Struthio camelus: one gene and its partner. The protein of the gene in region 1 interacts with the protein of each later gene in a biochemical or structural test. Links are inferred from orthologs where the notes say so. Each region holds a gene or a part of one and is shown on either strand. Other genes may lie near its edges.

Evidence for each region.
Region 2: the proteins of AGO2 (region 1) and DICER1 form a complex in vitro, tested with the Homo sapiens proteins (2 studies listed by BioGRID and IntAct). The link is inferred for Struthio camelus from reciprocal best matches to the Homo sapiens genes AGO2 and DICER1.

What each region holds. Positions count from the first base shown.
Region 1 is NC_090943.1:168,309,714-168,320,519, reverse strand, and holds the start of AGO2 (protein argonaute-2), read left to right. Parts: upstream 1-6,709; 5' UTR 6,710-6,925; coding exon 6,926-6,956; intron 6,957-10,806.
Region 2 is NC_090946.1:67,304,422-67,314,757, forward strand, and holds the start of DICER1 (endoribonuclease Dicer), read right to left. Parts: upstream 4,508-10,336; 5' UTR 4,283-4,507; exon of another isoform or gene 4,218-4,282; intron 4,216-4,217; coding exon of another isoform or gene 3,439-4,215; intron 3,144-3,438; exon of another isoform or gene 2,989-3,143; intron 1-2,988. Other genes in the region: uncharacterized protein C10orf95-like, read right to left, coding at 3,439-4,215. UniProt on the Homo sapiens protein: Double-stranded RNA (dsRNA) endoribonuclease playing a central role in short dsRNA-mediated post-transcriptional gene silencing.

The DNA of each region.
Region 1 (10,806 bases):
AGGGGCTCAGAGTAAAGTTATGGTGAAAACAGATCACTGAGTAATAACAGAGATAAAGAGCAGTTTTTGCTGCTTCCCAAAGCTTTTAAGCCTAGCTCTGCAGTCAGGATTGCTGGTTAGTAGGGCCTAATCGGACCAGAGCGAGGTCTAGAAATTTGCAGCAGTGCATGCTTTGTTTTTGATCCTGCAACTGTCCGTGATTTGTACAACTGTCGGCATCCGAACACACACTCCCACACACACCCATTTAGGGACTTGGACACTGCTGTGATGGGCGTGCTGTGATGGGGACTGATATAGCACATCAGTTTTAAAATTTAAAACAAAGCTTTGCTAGACAGACATTCATTAACAAAACACTCCATACTAATAATTAGTTCTCAAAATTGTTATCACTGCGTATTCGTTCTTACTGATTATCAGTCACTATCACTACATATACAAAGCAGTCCGTCCTTAACACTTTTATGCTAAATTAGCTGTGAGAATACAGTACTACAGAGCTGATGGGGCAGAGTTAGAGTATGACTATGGTCCTCGATAGTCATCAAGGTGGCTAAACACAGGAACTCTTTGCTGCGGGGAGCTGATCTTTCTCTTACCTTAGCTTGCCAATTGGGGAATTTTGTCTTTTTAAGATACGCTACATTAGCGTGCTTATGTTTCGGTTCAAAATGAGCCAGTATTAAAGTCTGCTTAGTGTGCTTCTGCTTTCAGGGGTGCTACAGGCCCCTGCTTTAGTTGCAACACTAACTCAATGCAACTTGAGAAGAGAAAGGGCCACTTTCAGATGCCCGGCAGGCACACAAGCATGTGTTATTCTCTTTCACCCAAATCATGCTGGGGTTCTAGAAAGCTTGATTACCTTGTGACTTGATATCGAGGGAGTAAGAATAAGTAAGACAGGTGAAATGGCAGCATCTTACATCTACAACTTGAAGACAGCATTTCAAAACATGGAACAACATGCGACTTAGAAGCTCAGCCAGGTATAAAACCAGCAGGTAGGAAAGTTGCGTGCCTGCCCATCCACCCAAGAATGAGAGAAGATATGACTGCTCAACTGAAAAAGGCCACCCTCCTCCCCCCCCAAAAAAAAACCCCAAACAGATTACCTTAGCTTCTAAATACGCTTCATATTGCCCAGAATCACTTGCATCTTCTGTATTTTTTCATAGTCTCCTTAAAGTAGTCACAGTATGACAGTGAAGGGACTTGGCAGTAGCTAAACCCTTTTAGGTTGTCTTTTTTACTACCATCCACCTTAATCTCTTTGCACTTATCTTTCTTTATTGGAAGTCTGCTGTTGTCATCTTGTTCAAACAGTCCAATTCGTTCACTGGCCCTGGGAGGATATTAATCTGGCTATGCAAGCCTTTATCTCCTGTTTTTAGCAATTAGCAACGCTAATGCTAAAACCAATGAACTTCAGGTTGTTGATCAAAGTGCCAGCGGCTTTACCCAAAGGCGCTTGGGTAAAGTCTGTCTGACTTCAAGAGGGGGAAGGTGCCAGTAGCTGTCAGGTTGCCCTGTTTTCTGTTTACTGCTGTTCTGAGCCACCATTTACCTCCTGTTAAGCAGGATAGGCATTCCCTCCTGCAACTGTTTTCCAGGAAAGATCTCGGTTTCTTCTTTGCATGGTAGGATTTTAGAACACGTGGCATTCTACTGTGCCATGCTGAGTCTGGTGGGTTTTTTTGGAAATTGGGAAAGCATCTGGAGACCATTAATTTGGTTTTTCCAAATTTGTTCAAGAACGGCCTCAGGTGCAGTATTTGCTTCCCTTATTCTTTTTGGAAATGACTTTTCTCCTTAGCTGAGTCTTTTTTGTCCCCTATCTGTTTTGTTTTTGCTGATAATTAGGTTCAAATCCAAGAAATATTCTCATGCCTGAGTTCACAACTGAAGGGGGAAGCCCAGCTCAGAAACCTGTGCAGATGGTAGATGACTAGCAAAAAATAGAACAAACTTCTACTACTATTGTAATGGTAAGTGCACAGTCCATATCCCCAATAGGTGGTGCTGCACCTTTTTCATAGGGTTTAATTGTTGTAATATTGGACCCCATCACCTAGGAAGGTGAGTACTTCTCGAGTGAAATGAAGTCAGGAATCTAGTAATAATATATATTTTTTTAATATAAATAAGTAAGTGTTACATTTCATTTGGTAAATGAAATAAAGTATGTCTTTTTAGCTTAGCGGTTAGTACAGTCACCTAGGTATAGGGAGACAATATTAGGTTTTGGTCCCTCTACTGCAGATTATTATTTTACTGATCACTCTTTTCATCACAAGTAAACAGTCCCTGGAGAAGAGACCCTCCGAGTCTATCTACCATGTGAAAACATTAGATGATAGAGTCACGGTCGTTTTCTCTTTTGTTCTGATCTCATTCATTTTATATTATTATTATGCAAAGCAGGATAGAGAATATGTGAGAAATCTAATACATTACATCTAATACAATATAAGTTAGAATCTCCTCAGAGTCACAAATCAAATCTACATGATCTTTCTCCAAGTAAAAATTCTTACCGTTTAACATTGTTAACAATGTCTAACAGACGTTCACAAAATGTGGTTTTAAAATTAATTCAGTTTCAAAAGGGGAGGGTTGTTACTTAGTGAAATCAATGCACATTTTCTCACCAGAAGAGAAGCCATATATTTGCCACTAGACTATTTGTATGTGAAATATTTATCCCAGATGATTGCCGCTGCTGATATAAGTCATTTTTAAAAGCTGTTCATAAATACCATTTTCTCTTCCAAAATGACTAAAAGCTGCTTGTTTTTTCCAAAAACAATGATTCCTTCTTTGGCAGATATCAGTTCTGGGAAATTTCAACTTTAAATCCAGCAGTTATGGTAGGGTATTGTGGCCAACAGTCAGTCAAATCTTTCTTTAAAGAAAAACATTTTTGAATGTTTCAGCAATTCTTCTTAAACTACTGCGTAATTGTTAATATAGTGCATGAGGAGCATGTATATAGGAATGCTTTTATAGAGTTTTCAAACCACATTGGCCTCAGTCTTCTCAAAAACTGGTGTCTTTTTTGGCGAAGTTGCCTGGTAAGGTGTAATTAGTTTTCAGTGCGCTCTGGAACATCAATTGTCAGGTAAAATGATTAAGAGAAAGCTTTAGAAGTAAAACAAGTTAGCAGGCCCAAAATGAGCGTGTGCCCTGTAACTGCAAGAGGAGGGTAGACAAGAGCTGTAACTCTCCTCTTTCCTCGACACACAGAAAAGTTGCTGAAAGTGCAGAGTAGCATGAAAACAGCCTAAAGGAAGAACAGAACTTGTCTACATGAGAAAACAGTAGTTAAATAAAACTATTTAACTGATTTACTATTTAACTGATTGTGCAAGTCCGCAGTCATGTATACACAGTGATAATGCCCTTTTGCTTATAAAGTTCTAAATCCACAAAAATCAGCTCTAAATCAATATGAGTATATTGCAATCTAGGAAGTTCCAGGTATTAATTGCTGTTTTCAGCATCTATATTTTCCAGGTAATTTCTGAAATCAATTGCAGAGCGTCCTCTGGAGCCCAAGAGAAGTGTGGGCTATGTGTTTACCATCTTGTGAAACCTCCTGCTGTATATCACCTATCTTCTACTGCTTGTTAGCTTGTGCTGTCTTCAAACCGCTAGCAGGTACAATCATGAGCAGATATTTTTCTTCTCTTTTGCAGCCGTGTGCGGTGTCAGATGAAGTTCCATGTGGGTATATCCCTTCAGCGTGTAAGCTTCACTGACCATTGCTTTCACGCCAGCATTTCACGAGCCAAATGGTGTAGAAAGGTGGGACAGGAAGATCTGCGTTTCTAGAACTACAGGATGGGGAGAGGGCCTTTTTCCTGGAAGTCTGTACTGAGCTCATGCCACACATCTACCAACATGAGCAGGTATTTCTTCACGTGGAAAAATATAATGCAGTAGTTGTTGCTCCTGTCCTTTCTATCCGTGTTGCGGGCCCCAAAGGTGTGAATGTTATGATGGAGGTTAGCTCAAGTGCTACTGGTTGAGGCGACCAAATTAGGCAAGCCTAGATTACTGATGTTTTTGCGAATGTAAGTTGTGTTGTTTTTCTGAGGAGACCCATGCATCTGTTATTTGTGGGTTTTTTTCCTCCCCCTAGGAATTGCCGTTGGAGTCATAATTGGGAAGGACTATTTTACTGCAGTATGCAGTGATGGTCCTGGAGGTCCGTTGACCAAATCCTCTTAACCTGAAATATAGCCCTCATAACCTAAATCTGTGCACTTTGTGTGGTTAAAATTTTTACAATATGAAAGCTGATTCTCCCAAAATACGACTTAAGAGTACAAACTTATAAATGAAAAGTTTATGTTATCATACTTGAAGTAGGTCAGCTTTAATAAAATTTTGGAGTGCTAATGCATCTGATTGTCTAATGCGTGAGGTGTGCTAATGGTGGTGGTATATATGTTACTGCCACATCACATCAGATGCCAGGCTAAAAAGTCACTAATTTTGAAATGCTGTGGTTACTTGTGATGATGGCTTATTTTCATCTTGCATTCTGTGAATAGCAAACATAAACCATGTAATTTATCTTGCTAAAACAATAAATAAACTGCTGATATGATAAAAGCTATACTAGCTCCCCTCCTTCTAGTCTCTCACATGAAACTTTTGAACACGTGCGTGTAGTGGTAAGTGCTAAGGGAGGACCACAGCTACTTAGCTGAGCCGCTGCTGAGGTGAGGCAGTAAATTTAGGCTTAATGTGTGAGATCAGGTGATGGCTACTGGATGCTAACTTCTCCATGATCATCACTTTCAATAGACCATTTTCGAGAGACCAGTGTATTTTCATGCTCTCTTGTCCTTAAATGCAGAAGATCTAACAGGCATCGTACGATGCATGTTAAACTTCCTAATCAGAAAGAACAGAAGAGATTGATTTAAATATAATATCAAAACCTTCGATGCTGATACAGGGGCTGCATGAGTTCCCACTGTCACCTCAGCATTTAGTACCGTCTAATAGAGCAGAAGCGCAGAGTTGCCTCAGATGACTCTCTTTTGGCTCGTTGTTTTTTTGGATTTTGTTCTGCTTCCAGCCTCTGGAAAGACTATTTAGCATAAACAAGGAATTAATGGTGTTTATGCAAAAAATCTACCCAAATCCTCAGAGGGGACAACAGCAATCCCTTTGACAGCTCCCTTGGCTGTCTTCAAAGTCTATCTTTACAATTTTGCTACAGTATGTCTCTTTACCGATTTTGACTCATGATTTTGTCCTTTATTTGTTTGCAGTTACCAGTAAATTTTAACTTTCTGGCAACTAGAGGAGCCTGGAGAATAATCCTTCCCCTGGAAAGTCTAGTGGTGACAACGGTTTTAGGTACAGTACGCTTGAAATGAAAGCTGAGCTCAGAGTAGAGACTTTTGAATATCTATCAGTATGACCCAAAGGGAAGAGTGGATGTATAGCTGACGTAACTCTGGCATAGTGGGATGCTTCTGTAGAGCTTCAGATGTAAACTGGTGAAGGAGGATGCTGGCTTGACTGACAACGCAAGCAGTACGTTCACCTTGTGCTTTAGCACAAGTAGTATTTACTGAAGGAATTCAGTTGACTTTGAAAGGGCTTTACTGTCCTGGGATGCTTCCTTTCAGGCTTTTTTAAGAGGTTTCATCTAAATGAGAGGAGTAGAGCAGGTACGTGAAACTATAGATCAGCGTTGCTATATTCTAACTCTGTAACTAACACTTTCTGGTGGCAGCGAGTGGCATCAGCTTGCCTTTTGCATCCATAACAGGCTTTAAGAATTTTATTCCTACTTTCTCCTCCTGAAAGGAAGAAGTACCAATGAGGTGATTTCAAAAGGATGACGACTCTTGAAGGAATCATCATCATCACTGCTATCTCTGGGTCTCCGTGCATCATACTGACCAATACTGTCTCTTTCACATTATAGAAATTACTGGTTGGTATTCTCCTGTATTAAATTTATGACCAGAGATTATCTTGTAAAATACGCTAGGTACTAGACCACAGCTGGGTTTCATAAGTACGACAAGAAGTGGATGCAGCATGGAGGTGTGAGATCCACGAGGTGAGCGATCCGAGGTTTTTCAGAGCAGCGTTGCCCTTGTTGCGTGAGGCTGTGGGGAGGAAGAACTGAAGGAACTAAACCCCGTTTTCAAGTAAACAGGGCATTCACAGGCAGTACAGATAACACTGACGCCGCTCCATCATCCCTGTCACGTGGCGTAGCTAGGCAGGCCGCCTTAAAGTAGCGGAGAGGGAGCTAGAGGAACTTAGTGTTTTATTTACCAAGCTCTGGTAGAAAGAGGGGTCTCCAGCAGCCCTGGCTGCAGCACACACTTTGTTTTAGCCTGACTGATGACGATACACCTGCCCGAAGGCCTCGGTTCTTCCCGGTGGGTGACTCCAGGGCCTAGAAAGACCCGTTCGTGCTGGGTTAGCCACACTGGCAAAGACTGTAAAAAGAGCGGAGGGCTCTGAGGGCGCGTGAGCTGTTCGGCGCCAGCTGATGAAATCCGTGGAGGGGAAGGGAAGAAGACGAGGAGGCGGCGGGAGAGAAAGGGGGCGAGCGCCGAGCGGCCGGGGCTGGCGCCGCGGGCGGCGGGAGGGAGCCGGCGGCGGCGGGCGGGGCGCCCCTGCCCCGTGACCCCCGCGGCTCCTCCCTTCTCCCCACCCACCGCCCCGCTCCTCGGTGCCGCCGAGTAACCTGGTTTCCCGGCGTCGGCCCGGCCCTTCTCCTCCCTCTTTTTTCCCACTCCCCCTCCTTCCTCCTCCCCCTTCGCCGACAGCGTAGCCGGGGCTCGGGCTCTCTCGCTCCCTCCTCCCCTTTCCCTCCCCTCGAGCTGCCGCCGCGGTAGGGAAGCCGGAGAGAGGCGCCGCCTCCGCCGCCGTACACGGAGACATGTACCCGGGAGCCACCTCCGCCGGACCCGGTGAGGTTTGGGCCGCTTCGGTTTCCCTTTCCCTCACCTCCCGCCCCGCCGACTTTCGCAGTCGCTTCGCGGCGTGTTGTGGAGGGGTTGGGTGCGGGGGTGGGGGGGGGGGAAGGTTTGAACTCGGGCTCCGTGTGCGGCGTTGGGGGGGGGAGGGGGGAAGGCGGAGGAGGGGTGTGTGTGTGGGGGGGGGAGGTGGGTGACCGTTGGCGCACGCGGCGGTCTGTCAGCGCGAGGCGCCGCACGCGCCCCCTCTGCCCCCCCCCCCCCAACCGTCGCCGCCGCGAGGCGCCAACGGCCGCCGGCGAGACGTTGGGGGGGGGGGGGAAGATCCGCGCGGCCGCCCTCCCCCCCCCCCCATCCGCCCCCACCTCAGTGCCCTCCCGGCCCGGGCCTGCTCGCTCGTAGCCTCCGTCCGAGGCCGCGCTGGCGGGGGAAGGAGGGGTCAGGCCGCCGCCGCCGCCACCACCTCGGGGAGGGAGGCGAGTGAGCCTGCGTGTCCTGAGGCCCCTTCGAGGGGAGGGTCGCCGTGTGTTCTGCCCTCCTCTCCCCTTCCTTCCTCCCTCCCTCCCTCCCGCGGCGGCGAGCCCCGAGGCAGCGGGGAGGGGCGAGAGGAAGGGGCTGCCCCGCTCCCCCTTGCCGGGGCCCGGCTCTGTGGTGGCCGCTGGGGCAGCGCCAAGCGGCGGGTCACCCTCGGCCGCCTCGTCCCCCCTCTATGCGCTTACGTGCCGCCTTGCCCCGGCCGTTGGTGCCAGCTCGGCCTCCTGCTGGCAGCGCGGCGCGGACGGGGGCGGCGGAGGTGGTTGGAGAAGGGGGGGGGTGCGGGGGGGGTCTCCATTTCCTCCCTCGCAGCGGCCGGGGGTGCCGCGGCCGCCTTTGCCCGGCGGCGTGTCTGCAGCCGCGGCCTGGCTGTTGGGGTGCGGGCGGGGGCTGCGTCCCGCTGTCCCATAGGGATCCGGTGAGGTTCTCGCCTTCAGTCGCCCTTCAGACTTCGGTGGATTTTTGTGAGCGAAGGGGGAGGAGGACGCGGGCAGCAGAAGCGCTAGCAACTTGCTCGGGGACGCTAGTGTTGTTCAAGGGGAAGGATAAGTTAGTATTGTGAGAGCTTGTGTCGTTAGCGTGTAGTTAGCCTAACGCTCGAAAAGAAAACAACTCTCCTAATGTAGAAACTATTATTTTTACCTTGTTTTTTTTTTTTCCAGAAAAAGTTTAAAAGTGAAACTTCCTGTATTTTATATTACTGTTCTTCATAGGTTTGTGTAAAATCTTTTTCCCGTGAAGGGAAGATCTAGTAAGGAAAAGTGCAGAACAATATAGGACCTGTAGCTCGGACCCTTCTACTGTTTCTCTCTTGCAAATGCTGCCACAGTAGCAGCATTCACCTTAGGATCTACAGTTAGGTGCTGGCTTCCTCTTCCCCCCCCCCCCCCCCCCCCCTTTTCTGTCTGATACTATTACCCTGAAGGAAAGAGAATCGAGAAAGGACCGGGACGATAGCTGTCCTTTTAGGAAAACCAGAAGAGCTATATTCTTCCTTGCTTTTCTTCCTGTAGTTCATGAAGGCTTTTACTATACACAGCAGGAAGACAGACCGCTGTAGCCGCGTGCATCCAGACTGATGACGTTCAATACTTTGGTTTTAAGTATTGGGCTGTCTTCAAGTTTCAGTACCAATAGCTGTGCATAAATACTTACTTTATCATTTGCTTGGCTTCTAGTGTCAGGTTCTCTTGTTCACTTTCAGTGTGCAGATAATCTTGGTGCTTAAATTGTGCTGCTGTTAAGGCTGTTACGTTCACCCCTTATTGTTACATCTTTTGCAAAATTGTATATAAGGGTTCTTCACCTATCTGGAGGTGGGGTTTTTTTGTTTTGTTTTTTAAAGGAACCAAATCATTGAAAAAATTGCCAGTATATGGACTGAGAGCAGGTTTACATGTGGGAGCAGTCTATCTTCTTCCGTTTGCTCTTTATCTGATCCTAACAGTGTCCCTTCTACACAGAATGATCTTACTTCCACAACACTGGCACAGGTGGTTGCTGTTTACTGCCAGATCCAGTGCGTATGTGTATTTTTCCCCTTATCAGAACAACCCTCTCTGAGCCCCAGAGAGCAAACACCATACCTTTACTGAGCTGCTATTTCTCTGCAAGCACTGCTGTCCGGTGCCGCAGGCTTCTGCTATTCCGCTCCCTTCAACTAAGCTCGTCTTCTGTCTCGTTTACTTCCCAGTTTATCTTGGGCTCAGCTTTTTTTCCCTCTGCAGAGCCAGGCAGGGACAGCGTCTGGTCTAGAGCACGAGCTGCAAGTTGTTGTCCGCATCGTTTCCTTCCTGTGCAGTCATCCACAGAGAGCCTTACCAGGGCAGTGGCTTTTAGCAATCCGAAAAAGCTTCCCGTTCTGCATCAAATCATACGGCAGGACCTTTGATTAGAGTTTTTAAAGAGGGAAGAGCTGTATTGTGAACCAGTCTGGAAACGGAGACTGTCAGCAGGGTGCTTGGTTTTGTCCTGTAGGCTAAACGTGGCCTGTGCACTGCTAGTGAAAGTCCCCTTCCACGTGTTAATCTGATACGTATCAAGCGAGCGTATGCTGAGATCCTCTTCAGAGGAATGAGCGAGCAGGAGTGTGGTTCGCAGACGTTCAGTAAGGCACAGCTGCTGTAAGTGCAGGAGAGCTCCAGCCTCTACATGTCTGTCACCACATCCTTGACGCAGCTTAAATGCTCCATTCATATCTCTTGTAACTTGGGTCTGGCCGCTGTTTGGTGGTTCGTTGAACGATGTTGCAGCATACGAGCTACTTTACTCTTCCTGCTCCCGTCACCAAACTGGACACCACAGCCATCCCTGTTCTGAGGGTGTTTGTGGTGTTGGCCCTCTGCCAATGTAATCACTCAATTTGCCACAGGGTTTGCTATTTTAATCTTCATTCTTTTTCTGGAAACAGTATAAAGCAAGTTAGGAGGCTGCATCTGACTAATTTAAAAAAATTGCAGCTAAACCTGGAAACTTTGTTCTAACATGCTGTTACATTGGGAGTAAAATATTTTTATACAAGAGAGTAAGATGTTTGTGTACAGATCACGTTTTTATGATTAGAAAAGCTATGATCTCCATTCCTTTTTCCCAAAATATTGTTCAGCTTTGAGACTTTACACTGGTGCTCCTTCTCCTTCAAGAGACTATAGAAAGACTACAGTTTTGAAAGTATGAAACTTTTTTTTTTTTTTTTTTAATTAATATAGATACTTTTTAGGATGTGTTTTCCTAGAAGGACAGGAAGATATCAAGGAGGTATAATAAAAATACTGTTGTTAGATCAGTTGAGTTTGAGGAAGTGATTGAAACTTGCACAAACTTCTGAAACTTGCACTGCTTAGTATTCACATATTTATAAATTCTAAACTTTGCATGCTATAGGTTGTCTCTTTCTTTATTTGAAAGAATATTTGTTTTTGTTCACTATCTGAGGTTTTAATTTGTTGTTGAAGGAGCACTTACTTGGAAAAAAGGTGACTTCAAAAAAAAAAGGGGGTTGTTGCTTTACGTATAAAATAAACTTTTTTTTTTTCCTGGTATGAAAAACAAGTTTGAGTTTTCTGTAGCAGGCTGTTGGCACCTGCCTCAGTAACACCAAGAACTCCCTTGTATCAAGGGTCTCCTCATCACCTGCCCAATCTTTTACTTCTTAGAAAGCCTCTTAATATTATTTTTAGGTTGAAACTGGGCCTGTTTGTATTGTGCTGTCCTGCTGGTATCACATGTTTGCACAGGTTTTTGGGGCTTAATTTTAGACAGTAAATTATGTTGAAATTCATTATAAGCTGCCATATGTAAAAGAGGAAAT
Region 2 (10,336 bases), on another chromosome or scaffold:
TCCTCTTTTCCTGGTAAGAGGGGACCCAAAAGTAACACCTATACCAAGCAAAATAGGAATAGCAGATTCACCGGTGTGTATCCCCTGAAGTAAAAGCCATGACAAGAGGTACAAGCATCTCTTGGCTTCAGGTGTATTGATGCAAGGAGAAGTTGAACAATATTTTCTTCTTTTCTACTGGAGAAGGTCATATCATTTCCCTCATTCCTCCACAAAAGCAGGCACAATAATGCAAGTCAATTCCTCGACCACAGTTTCAATTTTCTGCTCTACTACTCCAAAAGTAGTAGCAGTTTGAAAGTGACAAGTATCACAGAAATTTTACTCAGCTAATGCAGTCTACAATAAAGAGTAGAAATAAGAGAAATTTAGATATAACTTTCAAATTTGAAAATTTATGACTAAGACGACAAAGCATGTAAGAACTACCAAAATGGAGAGCACTCACTTAATAGATTATCACAGTATAAGCTTTTAAAAAGAAAGTGTGCACTGTTTTGTCCTATAGATTAAACCTTTTAGAACAGCTGTTTTGATTACATGCCTATGTCTGCCCATCCCCTCAAACAATTAGCACCATTTGAACACTAAGTCACAGAATGGTTTAGGTTGGAAGGGACCTCTGGAGATCATCTAGTCCAACCTCCCTGATCAAGCAGGGAAACTCAGGTCTTCAAATCCCAAGCCCAGACTGCAATAACTTCAGCTAAGAAGTGTACTTTTTACTGTGTAGCAGTTTTTCCTCTACTGGTTTAATCACATTTCGTATGGAAGTCATAAAAGGCAAAAAGATGAAGAAAGCAGTCTGGAGGGTGTAAGGAAATCTCGCTTTCTCCTCTGCTCCAGTCATCACTGTTAGTCTTCAGGACAGAATATCCTAATAGCGTATCACATGCTGAGGTTACTGTTCTGTACAATATTATATTTTTACTTTTTATTTTACTTTTTTATTTTACTTTATTTTTTAATTTTTATTTTTTGCTCTTTAAAGGCAGCACAGGAATTTATTTTAAGGAAGCAGCTATCAGCCTGCAGAAACTACTGTTGAACATATGACAGAGATAGGATACAGATGGTCAGTGGCTGCACAGCTAATCATTAGTAAAGCAAGAAAGTGGAGCATATGAACCATCTCACTGCCCCACCAATGATGCATCACGCTCAGTATACTCTCTAGTTTGTAGCACCAACATGACAGGAAAAAAAAATTACCCAGAACCCTTTACTCCCACAGAGAATTAAGAAATAATCCATTTCAAAAAAAACGTTTTGACGTTCTTGTCTGTATTCTCAGTACTTATTATATAACATAATGCTTGTCATCTGTAAGTGTACAATCCTTTTCAAAATGGAATTCTTGCTGTCAATCCTATTCTACAGTTTATCTAGAAGATAAATCAAAGAAATATGTCAACCTCCAAGTTTACCATATCCATTTTACTAAGTTACTGACCTTTACAAGAAGGATAAACACCTTCTATTTGTCTCTGCCAGTAACTTGCATTTGGTTACAGAGAGATACAAGTTTACCCAGTTCATACTGAAAGGCAACATGGGTGAAGCAGTGATACTCAGTTTCTGTAATAAGGTATGCTAAAGCAACTTTGCACCACCTATGAACTTTCCTGAAGAATGTGAAAAAGCCCTTACTAATTTTTGGAATGGGAAATGAGAAAGATCTAGGGAATATACAAAAAAACCAAGGGAACAGTGTTTTGAGTTACAGGTTCAGCCTTTTTGTTGTTGTTAATCTTTAAGCTACAACTCTTCAAGGCATTTCTCAATCAATCAGTGTAATTTATGTTAAAACATTAGAATAACATTGTGTCGGACAAAATATCTTTCTAGCTTGTTGGCTTCCCTCTACTGGTGACCAGTGGAGGACACGTAGGAAGGAACGTAATAGCTAGGCAAGCAGTACTACTTTCCACTGACCAGTCACCTTGACATTTTCTAAGTCTTTGTGCTTGACAGTCTCCGATGAATTTTTTTCTTTACAAACCAATTATTTTGACCTCTATGTAAGGTTTTGGCATTCCCAATGTGCTGTTGAAGCAGGTATTCTAGCTAAACAGAATGTGAAAGATTGTCTTTTGTTTGATTTGAATCTGTCAACTACAGAAACCTCAAAGAAGCGGAGGGGAGGGAAACCCTAACAACTGCTCCTAACTTGCTTTTTTCACAACTATATTGCATAGACATCTCTCTTATTCCTCTTCTGGCATCTCAACTGGCTACAAATTTCTAGTACTTAAGCCACCTAGTCAGCTTTCTCTCTACCTTTTCTTAGTCTAACATAACCTTTGGCATATGGAAGAAAGATACACCCAAACTGCATGCAGTGTTAAAAGTAAGGGTCCAGCATGGACTTGCACAATAGCATACTGATGCCATTTGATTGTCAATTATTTGTAAATTCTAACATTATTTTCTTTTTACTGATGAGTACTGAGCTGCCATTTTCATTGAACTCTATCAGATCAAGATACTTTCCTAAACAGCAGTAGCTAATTCAGAGTCTGAACAAATACATACACATTTTTAAATCCTATGGATTAAGAACAATGACGAAACAATTGGGAGATCATACATGTGCACGCCCCTTCCAGCTGAAAACTTCTAGTAGCATCTTCAAGCCTTTTATATAGTTATACAGATTACAACGTATCTTGTAAAGACAGACAACAGGAAAGTCCCTCTTAAGGATTTAGGACAATAATTCTGGCTTAATAGAAATCAATTCCAGTTTGCATCTGTATCAACTTAACACAAAAAACCCACCCACACCCACAAGGAAACCCTCACATCTATCTCAATAAAAAACATGTATGCTGTTTGCACTTCAGCTGGGCATCCGAAATGGTCTGTAAATCAAAAAGCCCTTCAAACACAGTAAAACAGCGTAAACCAAGTTTCTGCAAAGTTAATTCTGATTTGATTCGCCCTTTGTCTTGTTTCTTTGAGAGTGGCAACCACCTTCCAACCTACATGCTTTCATCAGGCGAGGCACTGCATATCTTGAAGCTCAGTATCCTAACACCAAGAATACTCATAACTCATTATCTGAGGCGCCAAGCATCCTCCAGACTTTTAGCAGTTGAAGACAATTGCATCAGTCACTTATATTTTGGAAACAGTCATTTCTATAAATAAACAAAGAATATTTCAAAATGTCATTGCTACAATCCTTTTTCTATCTATTGAGGATTTTCTACATTATCTATTATCTCACTAGTATTAAATCCTATTACAAAAAATATTTGCTTTTTCATCTTTTGTCTTTTCAGCCTAAGATCACACAGTATAAGGTATGCCCTAACCACGTTGCCACTGCGTTGCCGCTCTATGCGGACAGTCCTCACTTAAATTGGACGAGGATGGAGGAAAAAAAGAAAAAAGAAAAAGAAAAGCAGAGAGCTAAGAATTTCATATAACTCCTTAACCGTAGCACCGAAGAGTGGAAACACGTTTGCTGCCCTGCACTCCTCGCCCCAACCCCCGCCACGCAACACGGCACAACCGCTCCGGGAAGCCGCAGCCCGGAGAGGGCAGAGCGCGGGCCCTCAAGCGCGCACGGCGGCAGGCCCCGAGCGCGGCTGCCCGCGGGGCGCGCAGCGACGAGACAAAGCCGGCCGAGAGGGGCCGGAGCGCGGCGGCGGCGCCGGCCGGGCCCTGCCGCCACCCGACGCGCGGGGCCCGGGCCCTGCCGGCGGCGGGAAGTTGCTGGGGTCGATGGCGGAGGTCGGTGCTGGCGGCGGCCGGAGCAGCGGGGCGCCCGCGGGGACGGCGGCTGGGACGGAGGCGGGGCAGGACTAACCGGGGCCAGCGGCCGGAGGGCGGGGAGGCAGCGCCCGCCGCCATTCCACCCCCCGGCGGCGCGGCGCGGCCGCGGCGGGGGAGAGCGCGGGCCGGCGCGGGCGCTGGGCTCCGGCACCCGTGCCCGGCCGCCATGCAGCCGCCGCGGCGAGGGCAGGCGCGCCTGGGCCGCCATCTCCTACCTGCTCGGACGGGACCCAGCCCGGCGCTTCCCCCCACTACAGGCCGCGTCTCATTGTGTTGCTGCCGCCGCCGCCATTTCCCCGCCGCCGCCTCCTCGCTCCCCCCAACTGTCAGGTTCCTCCATTCACCTGGGCCCGGGATAGCCTCCTCCCCCTCCCTTCCCCCTGCGCTGCCGGCCCTACGCAAACGGAGCACCTCCCCACCCCTCCCGCCCATACCAACAGGGGCCGCCCAACGCCCGCAACGCAAGCCCGCTCCGAGAATGTCACCCTGCGCAGCTCACACGCTCCACATCCCCGCAGCATGAAAGGAGCCAGGCGATTGGCGGCAACAGCTGGGTAAAAGGTGAAAGGTTCACAGGCTAGCCAATGAGATGGCGAGATACAGCAGCGGTTGAGGAGATGCGGGGTGGTCCAGGGGCTCACGTGTGTGCCCTCTCCCCTCCCCCGGCCGGAGGAGCGCGAGGCGCCGAGCCGCCGGTGCCGTGTCTCGTTCCGCCTCCCCCCCCCCCCCCCCGCGCACGCGCTTGGGCGGGGCTCGCGCGCGAGAGGCGGTGGCGGCCGTTCGGCTGAGGCGAGGCAGCACCCGCCATGTTGGGAGGGGGTGAGGCTCCCCAGGCTGGTGCGGGCTGTGGGGACGGCGAGGCCGCCTCCAGGGAGTTTTTCTTGCCGCTGAGGCAGGGCTGCTCAGGGCGAGCAGAATCTGGGCCTCCCTCGCTACTCTGTTGCTATATCCCACTTTTTCCTTACGCAGAGGCAGTCATTTCTCTGAGGAGTATCCTCCCTGCCAAAGGAAAAGAGCCGCTCTTCCACCATGGAGCTAGCGCCCTCGGCTCTTGCTGGCGCTAGCCCCAGACAAGATGGATGTGGGTCTGGCTGCTACTGGTCAGCAGCCACCTCTGCTCACTGCTGCTCGTCGAAGCTGGCAGAACAGAGCTGCTGTGCGATCTCATCCAGCTGGTGAACTGTGTTTATGACTGCAAGGAGATTTACATCCTTACAAAGGAAAGTTGAACAGGTCTCTCTCATCACGGTGTCAAAAATGAATGTTTCGCAGCAATAAAAGTGAAAGGTCTTGGAAGCCATTGCCACCACAGGACAAATAGTATCAGTGGTTCAAGAAAGAATAGATTGATACTGTCCATAAACAGATACCAAAGAGAAGGAAAGTTAGGGAGATAGATACCTCCGAACATCACAAAGTCAATGACAGTGGAAGAAGAAAGGACCACAGGCAGTGGCGAGGTTCTTGTACTCCCTGAACAGCACTTCCTTTTGCAATTGCTTGAGGCAGAGTATCAGCTAGCTGAACCACGGGCCTCATTCCAGTTTCTTGTCAACATTTACTTGCTTAAGTGACTTTACTAACTACTACTACTACGTTAAGAAAAAAAAAAAAAACCTGAAATCCCTTGGGTTAAACAGACAGTTGATGCGGGGTAACTGTTTCTCCAGTGTCAAAAACCTGTGCCCACAGATGAAGAACCCAAGATAAGGGAAAAGTATGGTGCTGAAACATTAGCAGAACACAATTTTTCTGGTACTTCACATACTACCATTTTCCACCTTTTATTTCTGTGACGCCATTGATATCAAAATCTGGAAGCTGTGCCCTGGAAAAACTGAGGTGAAACTTGCAAGACAATGAAAGAGCTTTGAACAAATCTAAAGTATGAATTGGGCTGCAGTATAACCAGAAAACAAATGAAATCGCTGACCAACTGTGCTACAAGATGGATGTAAGCAGTGCAAATCTGTACTGTTAATTCAGTTTTCCTACTTAACTTTTTCTCCATGTCCTTCACTCATATCCACACATATCCAAAAGCACCATTACTTTGAAGTAATTTTTATGCTGTCTGTGCAGAGAAAAATGTGTTTTCCACATCAAGTATACTTTACCATAGTAATGAGAGCAATACACTTAAAGCTCAGAAGAACAAGACTACAAACCTGCCCATAGTGCCAACGAACAGTCAAGTCTGTGGACTACTCATACATCACTACACCAACAATGTAAAGATTTAGCCACATGTGGGCAATGTGGTCGTTCTTGTGCGAGGAAATCTTTAAATAATGTAAATTTACATACCTGGCTCTGTTTTGCCTGCTCCTGGCACCTCGTCTCCTCAGTGGATAAATTTGGTTGTATACTGTATTTCACTGATCCTGTTGGCCCTGCAAAACACTGCAAGCTGTTTCAGGTGTGCAAGTATAGCACAAGTTACGTTTGTGGTAGTCCAGGCAGGCAAGTTAGGACTATCGTAAGATCACATTTACTTACACAGGGATTGGAGATCCTCCTTGTTCCATAACAGATTATAATAAGATCATAAATTTAATAAAAAGCTGCCTCTGGCTAACCACTCTCCTTTTAAGTTGTGCTAAACTTTATGCACATGCAGTGGAAGATCTGGCACTGGAGATGCAGCCTTCTTCATTCCATTCCCACTCAACCAGGGATTTACTGCCTTGCATAATGCAACTATGTGTGCCTACAAAATCAGTTTGAGAAGGTAAAGTTGACTGGAGCACTATACGGTTTAAACTCTAGTAAAATGATTTGGGGAGAAAAGTGATTTGGAGGCCTAGAGTATTATCAAATTAAGTGCTTTCTTTACTTGGTTAAAACCTCTGTCGCCATTTAGAACTCTTCTTCTGGAATGCTAATGTTATTAAATATTGAAGTATTAAGTATTTTTGTAGCATGCAAAGGGTATCCTTCTGTTTTTATGGATGGAAGACTAATTCTATCCCATGATAAAACCTTAAGAAGAGGAGCAGCTGTTAAGTCTTATCCAGTGGGAGCTGTCAGAACACGTGTCTATTTTTCCAATTTTAGCTGAAGTACTGAAGAAAATTAGCATTCTTGATTATTTCTAATGTAAAATAGAGCAGAAGGAAACTCTCTTCAATCCTTTGCAGGCCATGGTTAAATAATGAATTTTATCCAATTTTATCCAATTCAAAGAGAAGGCAAGCAGAATTCTTAAAACACAGAAAACAATGCATATAAATGCCAAAAGAATTCTGGAAGTTATTTTTGTATAAAGAAAAGGATGTCTTTCTCCACAGCTACTTCCTCCTTAAGCCTGCTGACAGGAGTTTGTGATTTAAAAGCACAGTTAGGATCAACTTTGTGCGGTACTTTGTTATTCCATCACCTCTAGCTTCTCTCCTTTGTAAGGAATGGATATTTTATGTCATATGCTTGTATTGTGACAGCTAGCTGTCAGAGTTTAACCCCAAATCAAAAATTGATTTTTATGTTGATTTCACAAATGTCTTTAAAAGATTTGTAAAGAAAATTAAGCTGAATTCATCAATGCAATACAAAATTCTAAAAATCCCACATATTTCCAACTACTTGACATTCAATGTTTGATTAAAAACAAACAGGCCATTGGGGGAAAGGAATTGAATAGCTCAGCTAATTAAAATCCAGAACAGCATAAATGAATAATTCACCAAATTATAGCTTTCTCCATTTCTTTAGAACTGGAAATACTGATAATGAGATAACTGTTGTAAGACAACAACAGGAAAACAGAAACATTTCTCTCCCTTCCCCTTTCCAAAAATGTATGTTTTGTTTCTATTTTTTTCGTATTGGGTAAGAAAAAAAAAAACCTTTGTGTTTAGGTTAGAAAAAAGCAAAAATGCAGTTTCTGCAAAACTCAGTAATTAGCCTTGTGCATGCTATAGAATTTTGAAATTATGCCAGCAGAAAATAGGCTTTGTGCTTTTTGATTTGATTTATCTTCTCAAATTCTAAAATGGATTCTGAAGATAATTCTTCTTGCAAGTTAATGGTGACCTCTGTTGTTCTCTGTTGCTGGTACCAGCCGTGATGCTGTTTTGTCCCTATATCATACACTATTTCAATAATATACTTTGAAATAAGCTGACAGTTATCCAGAAACAACTGCAGGCCAGAGTGTTGTAAGCAAGTTTCTGGATAGGAAAGGATGTGACTATTCTGCACCCACCTTCAGAAAATTTAACTTGAGACTTTCCTCTCAGCCAGTCTCTTGTCTGGCTACCAGGTTTTTTAGTTCATAGTTGTGAACCACTGCAGAAAAGAGACAGTTACAAACATTAAGTGTGGCTACACTGCTAATAGTAACATATGTAATGTATTATGAGAAAAAGATGCAGGTGTGACTATGGAGGAGGAAGTTGAAAGAAAGCAAGAACCTATATTTGAACTGAATCCATTCCTAAAATTGGAGCTGAGATTTTAAAAAGGTGTGAGGTTTGCACAAAGTTTTGGTCCCCTCTAAGATGCTATTTGCAATCTTTTTCCTTAGTGCTTTCACACTTCAATGACCCAGACTTCATAACTCTAAATAAGGGTATTTTCCCTACTGCAAGAGAAACTTTAACATTTTTAATTGCTTTAGTGTCTTTTTGACCTCTTCAAACTGCTCTTTTACCTTTTCAAATTAATATAAAAATGTGTTATCAACTGCTTCACTCTTTCAATGAAGGGACTCAGCATTTCATGACTATTGACTAAAAACAGTGTTGCTATTCCTTATTGTGGAGAGCCCTTGCTTAGCAGAAGCATAACTGGAAGTCTCTTCATATCTATCGCTGACTAAGGTTACTTTAGGCAAATCTAATTTTTGCATTTCATAAGCAGCTGTATTTCACAATGACACAGTACAAAGGATCTATCATACAATAGTTAACAAAGGTTCCTAATATCCTTGTAAAATGCTTTTTTATACTCATTTTTTGCCCCAGAATCAAGCAAAATACCGTCTTGCAAAGTATAAATGTACTTAGCTGCTACACTTACGCTGATTCTTGCTAACAGGCAGATAATCTCTATCAGCAAAGTGATAAATCAGTTCCCCAGGGTACTGATCAGCCGTAAAAAGTAATGCAAAAATAATCAGTTCAAAGTATTTACAGCAGATGGAGCTATATATTTTGCTTTGATCATATGTCACATCATATTCCAGGGTAATGCTTACAGTTTGGCCGGGACGGAGAACTGCCAGTGGTACCATCTAACCAAGTAATGGAATTAGTCACTGGAAGGCATTTCCTAAATTATTGTAGTGCATTCTCCTGGAAATAATCTTTGTAATATCAATACAAATAGCAACTCAAGATTATTAGTTTATGCTAGCTGCTATCTTAGCAGAAATCACAGCTCAAGCGTAAGATTTTGTTATATCTGCCCAGCAATTTGAAGGTACAAGTACCCCTGCCCCCACTATCTTTTGTTTATCAATGAGATACAAAACAAGCAGTGAAGACAGAACACAGGTTTCAGTATACACTAGCAACCAGAGTATGTGCGTGATGGCCAGAGGTTTATCCTTAGAAGGCTTGGGCTCCCACAAAACTGCAGTGTGCGTACTGGTCCCTTGTCTGAAATGAACGCTATGCTTGTCTTTATTACGATCATGATCCAGATGGGCATATGTCCTATGTTGCGCTTGCATCTTCTTTAAGTTACAAAAAATATAAAAATAAAATCAATTATCTTTGCAGTGGCTAGCAGAATAACTTTTATCCTTCTTTAGAGAAAAGAAATTAACTCCAACAGTTTCTATTCTGTATTTGAATTAGAACTGAAGTTTGGATCCCATACTCTTGCAAAAACTGATTCTGCTCCCGAGATCTGAGGTAACCTGCCTTGCATGTTTGAACCTCAACCCCCTTAATCCACGTGCAAATTCCTAATCACGGAGTCAGTTGCAAAAAATTTACTTAATTTTTAAAACATCACAACCCTTTTTTTCTTCACTTAAGCATCATTCGCTACACCAATAAAAGCTACTCGTCTCAAATTATATTTAGAGATTTTAATGTTTATGGTACTGAAGTCAGCACTGCCAGCAGGACTGGACCCGAATATGCCAAATCCTCAACAGCATTATCAGAAATCTCTTACTGCCTACAAGCCTTCGATATGAGGGAGGATGGGCCAATATCATTACGATGGGCCAAGAACATTTACAATTCCTGAAGTATGATACCCACCAACCTTTAATTTGAATTAGAGAAGAAGCACTCCTAACTCCATTCTCTACGCACTGTTTTCTTCCTCTATGTTTATCCAATTTACATATATCTTTTAGGAAACAGATCATAGGTCTGATTCTAAACTGTACTGCATCTCTGTTGTATTTTGAGTGTTTTCCTTTGCTTATATACCTCAAAGGAAACTAAGGTGTAGGGGGGAGAACACAGTAAATATGAATCAGTATTGTGTCTAGTAATTTACTAATCCACTAGTCTTAACGTTTAGACACTTAAATAGAAACAGGTCAGAAAAAAATAATGTGAGAACGGTATAATACAACACAATTGTGTTTTCT